Macaca fascicularis: one gene and its partners. The protein of the gene in region 3 interacts with the protein of the main gene of each other region in a pairwise test. Links are inferred from orthologs where the notes say so. Each region holds a gene or a part of one and is shown on either strand. Other genes may lie near its edges.

Region 1 (3,902 bases), on a different chromosome or scaffold from region 3:
ATCCCAGCTTCACTGCTCAACAGGAATATCACTTCATTAGGTTAATTAATCTCTCCAAAAGTAAGTTTCTTAATTTGCAGAATCAGAATGATATTGCTTTCTCCAAAATATCCTAAGAATTAGAAAAATAAAATTCCTAGCCTTTTTGTATGTGTGGCCCATGAACCCATGTGAGTGTGGGCTCCCACATGAAATTTCAATATAAAGTTGAAAATAAATAACCTAAAAACCACAGGGTGTAGGGGAGTTGAAGGCAGGTGGGGACAAATGTGGACTCTGGATTCATTGTGAGTTCTAGTCCTAGCGCCTTCTCTTATTAACCTGTATGAGCTATGGAAAGTCCATTACCTACATTATTCCTGTGTTTCCTCCATGGTGCAGAGGCAGTTCTTGCCTGCCTGACAGGCCTGTTGTGAGGATTAGATAAAAGGAGAAAAATACACGTCAGGGCTCATGTACAATGTCTCACTCTTTAAGTGCCCACAAAGCATCTATTAATTTTGATAAAATGTAGAAACTTAAGGAAATTATTTTTGGTTTTTATTCCCATAGGATGTGATTATGGACAATCTTACTGTTTTGTTTTTTATGCTTTTCTATATTTGTGCATGTTTTTGAAATAAACATGAGTTAAAGACAAAACCACAAACTTCACAAATTTAGGAGTAATCATGAGTAGCGATTTTTCCCACCCCATTAGGGGAAACAGTTATATCTGTGTATACTGTAAAACAGAGAATTGTCTCATTCCCAACCATACTGCTTTGTTAAAATGATAACGTACACTTCCAGAAATGATTGTATCACAAGAATCTTTAATGTTTACTTTAAAGTTGACTCACGGTGGGGTTGTATATGTGTTTAGTAAAGTGTGCCAAGTGCTCTCACATTGAGACCAGTCCAGTTCAAATTAGTTTACGCCACGAGGATGTTTTCAGTCCCCAGCAAGGTCATGAGGGCCTTGACATTTCTTGGTTAGGCCGGCTTTGCTGGTGAGTTTTTCCAAACTCTGCAGGAGCAGTCTACCCCAACACACATCTCAGTCCCATGTAAATTAATAAGATGGAAACGTTCTCAATGTACTTCATCAGTTTAGCACGTCTCTGATACAAAAATCCAAGAAAGGTACCACAAAAGCGAAAGCACCAACCAAGCTTACATATAAACAAACATGCATACATCCTAAATACTACACAATAGTACCCAAATGAATACAACATTGCATTAAAGGTATAAAAGCACTGTACTGGAAACGTAAAAGTTACACGTGAATACTGCACTGTAAATCCTGAACACTCTAATGACCCACCCCCACCCTTCCACAGCCCTGGTGAGGATCAGAAAGCATTCATCTGCCTCCAGACTTGGCTAGTCCTCGGAGACACTGCTGCGAGGGCAGTGGGCAGCGGGATTAGCCTCCCGCAGAGCTCTGGCCTCCTCTAGAGCCTCTCTGTATCGGGAGGGCCAGGCCTGGGGGTCTTTCTTAAAGACCCTGGCCAGGAACTCCATGATTTGCAGCTTGGTGATTTCGCGGCTGGCCCGGGAGCCCCAGAAGAACTCGTACTCGGGCGGCTCCACGTACGGGACGCGCTGGTACTTCAGGTAATTCTGCTGGACGAACTCCTCAGTGATGAGCTTCCGCACGTCCCCGAAGGTGGAGTGCTTCTTCCAGGGCCGCAGCCCCAGGATGCGGAGCACGTTCCAGACCGCGCTCTCTCTGGCGCCGCGGCCCTTCACGTAGATGAGGCTCAGGATCATGAGGAGGAGACCTGTCATGGGCATGCGGTTGCTCAGCGCCACCCTGTCCAGCTCCTCGGGCTCCAGCGCTTTGACCAGCGCAAACTCCATGGTGTGCAGGCTGGTTAGCCTCAGGTGCAGCCCGAACACCCGGGCGAGGATGAGGCTGGTGCGCCGGAGGATGCTCCTGCACCACTTCTTGTAGCTGCCGATGACATCTTTCACCATGTCTGGAAACCAGATGATCATCTTCTTCTGGTCCTTGACCAGCACGTACCACATGAGCTCGTGCGCCTTCTGCACCAGCTGCGCCGGGGCTGGCGGGGCCGGGCCGGGCTGGGCCGCGCTCGGGGCCTGGTGGGCGCGGCCCTCCTCCGCGGCCTGCTGCAGGGCCTTCGGGTCGTCCTCGTCGCTCGGGGCCTGGGGAGGCTGCGCGGCCTGCGGGGCGGCCGTCGGGCCTAAAGGAGGGCTCTGCGGCTCTGCCAGGGTCTCGGACGGAGGAACCCCCTCCGGAACCCCAGGGCTGCTGTGCACCTCGGAGCTGGGGGCCTCGGCTGCAAAGTTAGGGTCGCTTAGATCCTTACTTTGTTCTGACATATCTGCGCCGTCTGGCAAGGGCAGGGCCTCTGCGTCCAGGAGCTCTTCAAGCCTGCGCTCCCTCCGCGGATTCCTGGAGAGGAAGTGCGCGTTGCTGTGCGCGGCGCCTTCCGCAGCGGCGGGCAGGGCGGGGCGGCGGCGGGACGCGGCACTGCGCCTGCGCGACTGCGGCCTTGGCCAGCGGCTGGGGGCGGGCGGGGCAGCGCGGAGCCCCGACGGGGAGGGTCCCTGGCTAAGCTTCACCTGCGGAGAGAGCGATCCCGGGGTTTCCCGTTTGGGCTGAGGGGATCTAGGGCAGGAGAAGAGTGCGATGGATGCGTACTGGAGAAGGGGCCAGTTTAGGAGAAAGATGATAACTTAAGTTTTTGGGATGTTGGGGTCAAGTTTCTTGGGAAACGCTTACCTGATATATCCAGAATTAAGTTAAATATGAGCGTCCCAGAGAAAGGTCTGGGCGGCTGTGTAAACTTGAGCTTTATGCGAACGAGTGAGAGGAACAGTCGGGCTTGTCCAAGAAAATGTGTAAAGTGTATGTCTGAGGTTGGAATCCTGAGAAATTCCAATAAAAAATGATTGACTCCCTCCCTACCAAATCAGAGGGGTTGTAAGAAAAGGAGAAATGCAGCGTGTCCTTAACGTAATTTCCTGTCAACCCATGTGAACTATGAACCTTTTAAGTAGGCAGCGGACTTAGAGCATCATTAATGCTTTAGTGGGCATAAATTTGGGTTTTACATTTCCTTTGGGTCACTTTGATTCCATTTTATTTTTTTCCATACTTAGTCCATAGCAGAAGGATTGCTATATCTTTTAGCACAAACTTGTATGATAATGTCTTTTTCCCTCTGCCCAGCACCCTTATTCTCCGATTCACCTTCTCCCAGGACCCTCTCTGAAGCTACTGAGTCCTCCACGTTGGAAGCCACACCCAAGTCCTTCCTGAGATTTAAAAAAAAAAACAACTAGGTCTCATAGGTAATATCTGGTAGTGTCTCTGAGATGACCCAAGGGTAGCAGGGGCAACATGGGTAACCCTGTTTTCCAAGTATAGAAGACAGATTCCCACTGGGCAAAGACAAAACTCGCTCCTACAGGCTCTCCATGAAAAAAGGGTCATTGGTGGAGCCTCTGAAACCAAGGGCCTTGATGCTGCTTCAGCATCCTTGGTCTGGGCTGATGTGGTCCTTCAGCGCTTCCAGGGTTTCTTCTCATCAGTAGCTTCTTAAATATGTTGAGTCTAATTATTGCCACTCGAAGCCAAAAGCACATTTAAAAATTGTCTTAACATGTCTAGAGTCCTCGCTGTGAGTATATATCTTTTCCCACTTGTCACTTTATTTTTCCTCAAGCAGGTTGATGTTGAAGGGTTTTCTGTGCTCTCTCTCTTTGGGTTTGCATGCACATAACACTTTTGGCAGAGCCATTCCCACACCAGTCCTTCCAACAGGCTCTTTAGCTTCCCACTTCACCAGGGTAATTCCTAGATATCAGTCTTAGTTGGAATTATTTCAACACTTTTCTCCTTCTCCTCTTCCTCCTCCACCTCGTCCTTCTTCTCTCCGTCTCCT
Region 2 (4,653 bases), about 24 Mb from region 3:
CATCTCTGGGTCCCCAAGACCCAGAGCTGAGAAGGTATCAGGGAAGTGAAAGATTTAGAACTTCAAACACCTGTCTTTCAGAAGTCACCAACCCATAGTGCCAAGGATGCCCCTCCTCCTTCAGCTGCAGGTTCTTTGAAGCCCTCAGCCCCCTGCTAAGGCCTCAGAGAGAAGGCATAGCCCGCAGCCGCAAGAATGGTAGAGCAAAACCGTTTCAAGGGGCAACGAGACAGTTCCTAAAGAAAAGGGACGTCGACGGGTTCCTCCCCCAGCGAGCCTGGCCCAGGCGTTTCTGGGACCAGCTCCAGAAGCCTCGCCCCCGCTCGCAGCAGGTCTGACCCCATCCCCCATCGTCCCGCCCCGCCCACCTCTACCTTCGCCGCGCGGACAGAAGCCCCGCCTCTCACCGCTGCTCTTCAGCGTCCGCGCTCCCATTAGGCCAATCCCCAGCCGCCTGCCCCGACTTTTGACAGATCCTTAGAAGTCCCTTCCCCGCACGTGGCCCAGCCCGGGGATATCTGCTCCCCTTTTGCCCCCAGTTTGGCTTAAAAGGGTTCCTTCCAACCACCTTGTGTCAGGAGCTCTCAGACGCCAGTGCAGCCCAGGCGGCCGGGCCGGGCTTTGGGGAGACCCCCGAGTGCGGGGAGGAGGTGTTGCCGGGGCCCTGAAAGCTTCCAGACCCGCTCAGTGTAAACCGCCTCGGGTTTGTGTCAACATCCGAGGCCGGAGACTGGCGGCGGCTGGGGACCGGCTCTGTCTACGGGACGGGAAGACGGGAGGGTGGGGAATGGAGGATCCATGGGTAGGCATAGGGGTCCTTCTGGGGGAGAACGCGAGAGGCCTCTTTGGGGTCCGTGAGAAAGGAGGAGGGCCCGTCTGGGGAGGGACCGGAATGAAGGGCTGGAGGGGTGGCTGGAGGGAACCCACGACTAGCGCGGGGCTAGGTAGAGTCTGGGGACTTCGCCACCCATACCAAGCTCTTCGCGCGCACCCAGCACCTTCTTCTCTGCCCCACGGCGTGAAGGGAGTGGGTGCGTGGGGAGGGGGGACGCAGTGGCGTGGACTGCTGACCACCCCCCTCCTCCCTCTCCCACCCAGCTCCTCCGCAGCTCCTCATTGCCCCCCTCCAATTTCGGCTGGGATATGGAGGGGGGGGTCTCATCTGTGATTCATCCCCTCTTCCGCCCCCACCCATACTGGGGCCCAGGAAAGGAAGCTTAGAGATTCGGCTGTGGTTCTCCCGTTTCCATAGCAACGGTGAGGTTGTTTTTGAGAATCCACTTCCATCGTCGACCCTTTTCACCCCAGACCTGTAAGCCGGGGGCTGAGCCTCAGGGCAGGGGTGCAGATGGGGGTGCAGCCCTCCCGCTTCCCGGCGAGTCCGGGAAGGTCAGCGCGGGCAGGCGGGGCGCGCTCCTGCGGCCGGGCCTCGCTGGCCACCCGGTCCCCACCTGAAACCCCGCCTGCCACTCCGCTCCAGAGGAGCCAATAGCCGTGCAACCTGCCCGGGATGGGGCGGGGCTTATGCAAAACGTGTCGCCTTCGGGAGGCACATAGTGATACAAGATCTGGGAGGCGGCTCCGGCGCGGACCTCGGAGAGCACAGCTGCCGGCCCGGGAGCCAGTCTCGGTCCCCGCGGCCCGCCGAGGCTCGGAGCCATCCAGCGACCCGGCGAGCGGCCTCAGGTAATGCGAGTGGGACCGGATCCTCAAGGCAACAACCCCACCCGGTGGAGGCCCTGACCCCCTCCCCCTCCACTCTCCCTTCCCATCCTCATGTCCTGCCCTGATTCAACTCCCCGACCTGTGGTTCCGCCTTAGGCGGCAGCAACTGAAGAACCCACCCCTGGGCAGGAGACCGCCCACCTCAGTCCAGGCCCATGGGTGCAGAGGAGGAGGCAGAGCTGCCTCCTTATCCCCAGCTCAGGTGAGAACAACCATTGCTCTGGCCCCCAACATAGACGCGTACACACACACACGCACACAGATGCACACACATACATCTGGGGGTGTGGTGGCGCTGGTGCTAGCTCCAGGCGCTGGTCACCCTCCCTTCTGTTTGGATATGGGTTGTCTGTCCAGCCCCATGGCAAACTCCCACCTCCACAGATAGCCCCTAGCCACTTTTCATCAGGGAGCCCCTGCCCCCAAAGACAGCCTCCCCCTCCACAGAGCGCTGCCTTCTCCTTGTCCCCAGACACTGTCCCCACTTACCACCCCTCAAGCTGACAGAGACCACAGCATACCTGAGGGAGGGACAATGCCCCTTCCCCAGTTTTTCTCCTCACAGACAGTCTCGACAGCCCTCCTCAGTGGCCCCCAGTGCTAGGCAGAGGCCCCATATTTGGCAACTCTCATGCTGGCAGGAGGATGAACCAAGGACACCACGCCCAGCAGACCACCCATGCCCTGTCAGTCCAGTTGCTGCCAAGGCCCCAACCTCCATACCTCCTCCCTCCCTGCTCACAGCCAGGCACCAAGTCCTCTCATTCTGCCTGTCAAATATCTCTCTAATTTGTATGACTATTTGCTCCCTCTCTCCATCTTCCTGCTGCTCCGTGGGGACCCTGCCAAAGTGCCATGTGGGCTGTGTTGCTCCTGGCCCTAAAGTGGACTGTACCTGGAGGGCAGATGAGCTGGGTTCAAATCTTGCACAGCCAAAGTTTGACTTTGGCCAAGTCACTTCCCTCTCTGATCCTTCATGAAAATGGGGAGGAGTATAAGAGAGAGGGTAGACTGGGTGAGATGAACTTGAACAGCCTTCTGGTACTAAGACACCCTGGTTCTATGGCTGATTATGGAAAAACAGAACCCTGAACCAAGAGGACATTAAAGAGAGGAGGCCTGAGGGGGGCGGGGTTGGTTTAGAACTCACTGAAGGCACATTCTTTCTTACCTAAGCCTAGGTACAGGCTACCTCCTCCTACACACTCTCTAGGACCCTTCTATTAGGAGTCCCTCCTAGACCACTAGCCCATCCTGACATGGACAGCTCCAAATTGAAGGTGACCATCAGGGCTTACTCTTTGTTTGTCATCCCCCGCCTCTCATTAAGAAGGAGAGGGAAAAGACCTGGTTGCTGCTGCTATTGCTGCTGCTTGGGGAAGAGCAAAGGGAGGAGAGGAAAAAGAAAATCTCCTGACCAGGGAGCTACTGTCACTATGGCAACCGCCTCAGCACCCGCTCCTCTGAAGCTGGGTGAGGGTGTGGGATTATTGCTTCCTTCAGTCCCTCCCATTCAAAGCCTCAGCCACCTCTCCATTCAAGCCCCACAGCCCTTAGCCCTCTTGAAGAACCCTCTGGGCATGCTGGGGCAGTGGTTTTGTGTATGGGGCAGTCTCAGCTCCTTCACAGCTGGAGGATAGCCCTCAAGAAGTAAGCAGAGAAGCCTGCCCAGGGTCAGCAGGGCCACAGCTCCAGCAGAGCATTGTCCCCAGCTGGGTTCTGGCCTTCACTTTGCTGCTGATGGGCTATAGTCGACCTTGGGTGAACCCTTCCTTTCCCTAGGTCTGGGTTCCATTGTCTCTGAAGTGGGTGTGAGAGCAGAAGAACGCAGATAAACAAAACAGCCTGACATAGATCCAGGGAGGAAGAAGGGGTTTCTGCTCCTCTTATGTAATCCACCAAGAGACATTCATTGAACATCACTGTGTCCTAGGCATTGCCACTATGTCTCCGCAGGGCAGTTCTGTGTAGGCACAGAAGGCAGGGTGGGAACCAGGGTAGGGGAGCTATAAGAGAGAAAACCCCCTGCTTTTATGGGTCCCAGACCCAGTGAGGACTAAGCACTCAACTGAGAGAAGTGAGTGCATAGGGAAAAGCACTTTTATTTCCCCCATGGGAAAAATAAACTTTTCTCACCCTTCAACCTGCTCAAAAGTGGACTGGGGCATATTGGAGGGGATCAACTCCTTGCCATTGAGCAAAAAGGTCTGGAGAGTTTTTTTCTGACTCAGACAGGGGTTTGATGCAAAGACCTGTCTCAAGTCAGACTGCATCCTGGGATTCTACAGCACCAGGTGAGGGTCAGAGAGCTCTGAAGTCTACATGCTTGTGGGGGACTGACTCATGCCCAAAGTGCTCAGCCCAGGCTGCTGACTCTCCACTGTCCAGACTGGAAAAGGCTGATCATAAGGAAGCAGGCTTCAACCAGGCCCTGAAGACTGATTATAGCCCAGGAGAGAAGAAAGGATATTAGGGGAGAGGAAAATAGCTTAGCAAAGAGGTGAGGCGTGTCTGGCTGTGAGAAGGCTGGCTTGAGAGGAGTATTTGGTGGTGAGGTAAGCAATGAGAGCTGAGGCTAGATAGGTGGGCACTTTGAGACCAGATTCTAGAGGATTCTGGAGCTTCAGGGGACCCATGGGCATGGCTACTTCTAGCTTATATTGTACCTTTTGGGGGGAAAAAGCCATTCCCTCCTAACAGAGGAATCAAAAGAAAGGCACTTCCTGCCAGGCAGGGAAGCCCCATGGGCAAGAGCATAGTTTGACTTCAGCCCCTCGGCTGTGTCACTGGCTATGGACATAATGAAGGTACCAAGAGCATTTCAAAATAAGAGATAACAGGACTTGATGGCAAGTTAGACCTAGGGCAAAGGGAAGAGAAAAAATGAAGGTAGCTAAGATTGTGTTCCCCATACCCCAGGGATGAGGG
Region 3 (4,701 bases):
AAGCTGTGGTGGAGTAATAACACATCACACCTGTTTGTGTTCACTATCACTATTATTTAGTCTTAGTCCTAAGTTGAGTACCTACTACATGCCAGTCATTTTGCATATATTAATTTCATTAGCCCTCACAGCAATCCCATGAGGTGAGATTTTTACCCTAAGTTAACAGATGAAAAAACTGAGACTCAGAGAGGCGAAGCAACTTACCCGAGGTTACACAGCTTGTGTGAGCTAAGCCCTCATTCACCCAGGTCTGCTGATACCAGGGTCAGGCACAGAACTGCTCTCCACCTGGGATTACAGGCTTGTGCCACCATATCCAGCTTTTTTTTTTTTTTTTTTTTTTTTTTTTTTTTTTTTTGAGACGGAGTTTCTCTCTTATAGCCCAGGCTGCAGTGCAATGACATGGTCTTGGCTCACTGTAACCTCCGCCTCCTGGGTTCAAGCGATTCTCCTGCCTCAGCCTTCCAAGTAGCTGGGATTACAGGCACCCACCATCACCATGCCTGGCTGGTTTTTGTATTTTTAGTAGAGACGGGGTTTCACCATATTAGCTAGGCTGGTCTCAAACTCCTGACCTCAGGTGATCTGCCCACCTCGGCCTCCCAAAGTGCTGGGATTACAGGCGTGAGCCACGGCGCCTGGACCTTCCTTATTCATTCTTCAAAACCTTTCTCTGCCGCCACCAGCGAACCTGGCTGCCTCAACTGGAAAACAGACACAAGAGTGCCTGCCCTGCCTGATGCACAGGTGGGCGTGAAGGAGAGAGCGAGATGCCGTGTGAGAGTGAGGGTCTCAGATGCTGACACTGAGTGCTGTGCACATGGGAAATTTTGCTAAAGGATGTTCACACCTTAGGAGCTGGGATGTGTGTGTGTGTGTAAAAGCAAGGGTGCTTCAATGTGAGTGTATAACTGTCATTGTGCGGGTGTGAGTGGGTATGTACACATGGGAGACTGTGTGTATTCATGTGTAGGTATGTGAGTGTGCGTGCCTGTGTGTGAATGCAAGTGTGCATATATATGTGTGTGTATGACCATCAGTGTGTGAATGAGGGTATGTACACATGGGAGAGTGTGTGTGTAGGCATGTGCGTGTGAGTGTGAATAACTACAGAGGCCGTCCAGGGCTGGGGAAAAAAACCCATGCCTCAGTTTACTTTGCCCTAGACAAGCCCTGAGAGGCAGCCTTGCCCCCCTCTTCAACCATCGCTGGAGACCTTCATCCAGCTGCCAGGCCGCCAGCGCACTATCTACCCCCACTCTCTCTACCCCACCTCTGGGCATATATTATTTTGCGTATGTTAATTTCAATCGCTCTGAATGAGGCGTTGACAGTCAAAAGTCGCTGAACTCACAGTTTAGGGCTCTCAGGCAAGGCCTCTAACTTCTATGAGGCTCACTTTCATCCTCTGCAAAATGGGCCCAACGGAACTGTTGTTCTTGTGCACACCCCTCCTCGCCCCCAAGCCCTCGTGCCCAGTCGTCGCTGTTGTGGTTAAATTCATGTTGTTTACTTTGTGCCCCAAATGCCAGGAGTCTCCCCGCCCCCTCCTTCCCCTTCCCTGACCTTCAGCCCGGGCAATCCCTGGAGGTGCGGGAGGCCCGAAGGGACAGAAGTGGCCCTCCTGCGCGCCGCGGCCACAGGTGCGCCCAGGCCTCCGGGCTGCGCTCCCCCGGGCCCCGCCCGCCGCGCCCCGCGGTGTCGCCCTCCCCTGGCAGCGGCGGGCGCTGCGCGGGAGGCAGCGGCGCGGGAGGCGGCGGCGCGAGGCGAGCCGGGCGCGGCGGCAGCGGGGACGACCGGGGCTGTAGTTGAGGCCAAGCCAAGGGCGCCCGAGCCCCCCGCCCGGCGCGTCCTCTGACTGCGCAGTGCTCAGCTCCGGGCCCGCGGAGACATGAACGCCCCGCGGCCTCACGCACCCCGGGCGCAGCGGCCCGGCCCCGCGGCCCCGTGATGGGCTCCTGCGTGTCGCGAGGTGAGGGGGCTCGGCCGGGGGTGGGGGGATCGGGCGCCGGGGACCGGTACAGTCCCCTCGCCGCTGGGAGACCTGGGGGGTGGGGCTGGTGACCCGCCCTTCACAGCCCGGCCGCACCCCCGAGGACGCGGCGTCCTGAAGGGGACAGGGCTGGGGACGGTGGGGGGCGGGGAGCAGCCCAAAGAGTGCACGTGCAGAGCTCACTGCATCCCCGCCCCGGTTTGCAGCCCCGCAGGTGACACGAAGCAGGGTCCAGTGCCGCGCTCTCATCCCTACAGCCACACACCCCCTGCCGGGTGCCTGGGAGGGGAGGGAGGCTCCGGTTCTTCCTGGCTTCGCGGAGGAACTGCGGGGCACGGGGAGAACTAGCAGACCCTCCCCGTCCCACCCTTCACCAAGACACAGGCCTTGCCAGCTCACCCCCACAGCCCCTTCCCACGTCTTACCGGGTGCCCCCATCTGCAGAGTCCCTGAACGCTGTTGTCAGGAAAGGGTTAATGGTGGGGAACAGGTTATAAAGAAGGTTCCCCTGCCCCCACCCTTATCCCTAATCCTCCTCCCCACCCCCATCCTTGGTCAGGGGACAGAAGGGCCAGAGCACAGCTGATGTTCCCAGTTACCGCCTGGGTCTTTCTCTCTTGTGTCTGACCTGTCACCCTCTGCTCTCCCTGAGGTGGTACCCAGGGAGGTGGAGGGACCTGCCCTTGCCTGGGGGACCAGGGCAGGCCCTGGCCTCTTCTATCGGTGAGTAGGGGACACAGAGTCTTGCACAGAGATTGGGGGATGGGCAGGTTGGTCTTTGGAGCCCCCTACCTCCACCCCCACCCATCACCACCAGCTTTCCAACAGGCCGCTGGGCAACATTTTAGACAAGCGATTGGGCTGAGCTCTTCTCCCACCTTGGTCTGTTCACCCCACAGTGGGATCAGGGGGGTGTGGCTGGGAGTGGGGGTGGCTTTGGCCTTGGTTCAGGCTCTGCAGGCTGAGGCCAAACCCACTGACCACCACCACACCCATCAACCCTAGTAGCTTACCCAGAATAGAGGGGACCTTGTCCTGGGGGTATTGAGCAGGGAGCATAACGCCCTTCCCCTCAGGAGTTCCTGTGGGCATTCAGGTAAGTGGCTCAGGATGTCTCTGGGAGGAATCGCGGCTGGGGAAGGGGAAGGTACAGGGTTAGGCTGTGTGAGGTTCCTTTACTTATCTATGCATTAAGCTGATATTAACATGATAGCTGCCATGTGCCAGGCACCGTGTGCATGCTGGGCATCCAGCAGCAAGGAACCCAGCACAGCACCTAGTCCATGAGGCCTGCAGCCTAGCAGGAGGGGAAGGGAGTTTGAAGAGTGAGGAGTGCTAAGGATTCTTTAGGAGCACCAGGCTCCAGAAACCCCAAAGGTTCTAGGCAGTCTCTGGCTCCAGGTGGAGGGGATCTGAGTGTTTCCTCAGTGGCCAGGTCCCTTCCCCTTCATTTGGCCACCCCATGCCAGGCACCTTGGGATCCCAGCCCCAGTGGACTGGCCTTTGAGCTGAGGACCCACTGAGCACGGGACAGAGGCTGAAGAGGAAGAGACGCCTGCTAAGGTCACCCTGAGAGGCTGGGGCCCAGGTCCTCTGACCCCACACCTGGGGGTCCCTCCACTGCCCCCTCTGCCAGGGCTCTTTGGGGCCACAGCAGCCAAGATGCGCTCCCTCCACCCTTCCTTCTGCAGCCTGGGCTTCCCCAGTGCCCCCCAGATCTAGTTGTATAGTCCAGCCTTGTCCCCCTCCTGAGAAGATGGGGCCCTTGACAGTCTCAACATGCACCCAAAAAGTTGGATTGAGGTGAAAATAGTATGGGGAGCCACGTGGGCAGGGGACGGCCAGGGTCCCAGAGACTCTGGGTGGCTGCATCACTGACCCACCCAGCTCTCTCCTCCTCACTGATGCTCTCCGAGCGCATACTAGTCTGAAAGTTTTAGGCAGATAAAGCTAGTTTGGGTTATATATGAACACAGTCCCCGTCTTACGAGTGGGAAAACAGAGGCAGAGGGCAGTGGAGAGACTTGTCCAGGGCCACACAGCTAGGAAAGGATAAGCCAAGATTTAAACCACAGCATGCTGACTCCACAGGCTGGGGCCTCAGTCTCTGCACTCACAGCCAGCCCTCGGCCCTGGTGCCTGCACCTGTTTACTCTCCTGGAGCTGCAGGCTCCTGTGGGCTCCTGTGCCCCCACCTGGCCCCTGCACCGGCAATCGATTGCTAATCGCAGCCTCTGAGTGCTGAGTGCCTCCTAGGCCAGGTAGGCACTGCTGCAGAAGGAAGGGTGAAGGGAGTGCGTCCACCCTTGGCCAAGGCCAAGGATTGCAGGCCTCAGGCTGATGCCCATACTGAGCCCAGAGCTTGCACCCAGCCGGGGCCATCCAGCCAAACCCCAAAACCTAGGTCAGGCCACACCTGGGAAAATCACCCCATCCCAGCATTGGCAGCAGTTAGCATCTGCATACTTGGTAGAGAGGCTAGGAGTGCAGTATAGGAAGCAGGGCTCCACCATTTACTAGCTCTGTGACCTCAGCAAGTGACTTGACCTTGTGTGTGTATCTCAGTGTTCCCATCTCTAAAATGGGAATTATAATATTATTGATGTCATAGGGTTGCTGGGCGGACTAAATGGCTTAATTCATGTAAGGCATTCAGACCAGTACCCAACACATAGTAAGCACTCGTACATATTAGCTATCGCTCT

What was found.
Region 1: the proteins of FAM131C (region 3) and NDN interact in a two-hybrid assay, tested with the Homo sapiens proteins (2 studies listed by BioGRID and IntAct). The link is inferred for Macaca fascicularis from reciprocal best matches to the Homo sapiens genes FAM131C and NDN.
Region 2: the proteins of FAM131C (region 3) and HPCAL4 interact in binary tests that used the Homo sapiens proteins (3 or more experiments, as listed by UniProt). The two-hybrid records come from large-scale screens. The link is inferred for Macaca fascicularis from reciprocal best matches to the Homo sapiens genes FAM131C and HPCAL4.

What each region holds. Positions count from the first base shown.
Region 1 is NC_088381.1:5,296,294-5,300,195, reverse strand, and holds NDN (necdin), read right to left. Parts: upstream 2,423-3,902; 5' UTR 2,335-2,422; coding exon 1,369-2,334; 3' UTR 796-1,368; downstream 1-795. UniProt on the Homo sapiens protein: Growth suppressor that facilitates the entry of the cell into cell cycle arrest.
Region 2 is NC_088375.1:195,208,166-195,212,818, forward strand, and holds the start of HPCAL4 (hippocalcin-like protein 4), read left to right. Parts: upstream 1-1,558; 5' UTR 1,559-1,686; intron 1,687-4,653. UniProt on the Homo sapiens protein: May be involved in the calcium-dependent regulation of rhodopsin phosphorylation.
Region 3 is NC_088375.1:219,027,690-219,032,390, forward strand, and holds the start of FAM131C (protein FAM131C), read left to right. Parts: upstream 1-1,729; 5' UTR 1,730-1,953; coding exon 1,954-1,975; intron 1,976-4,701.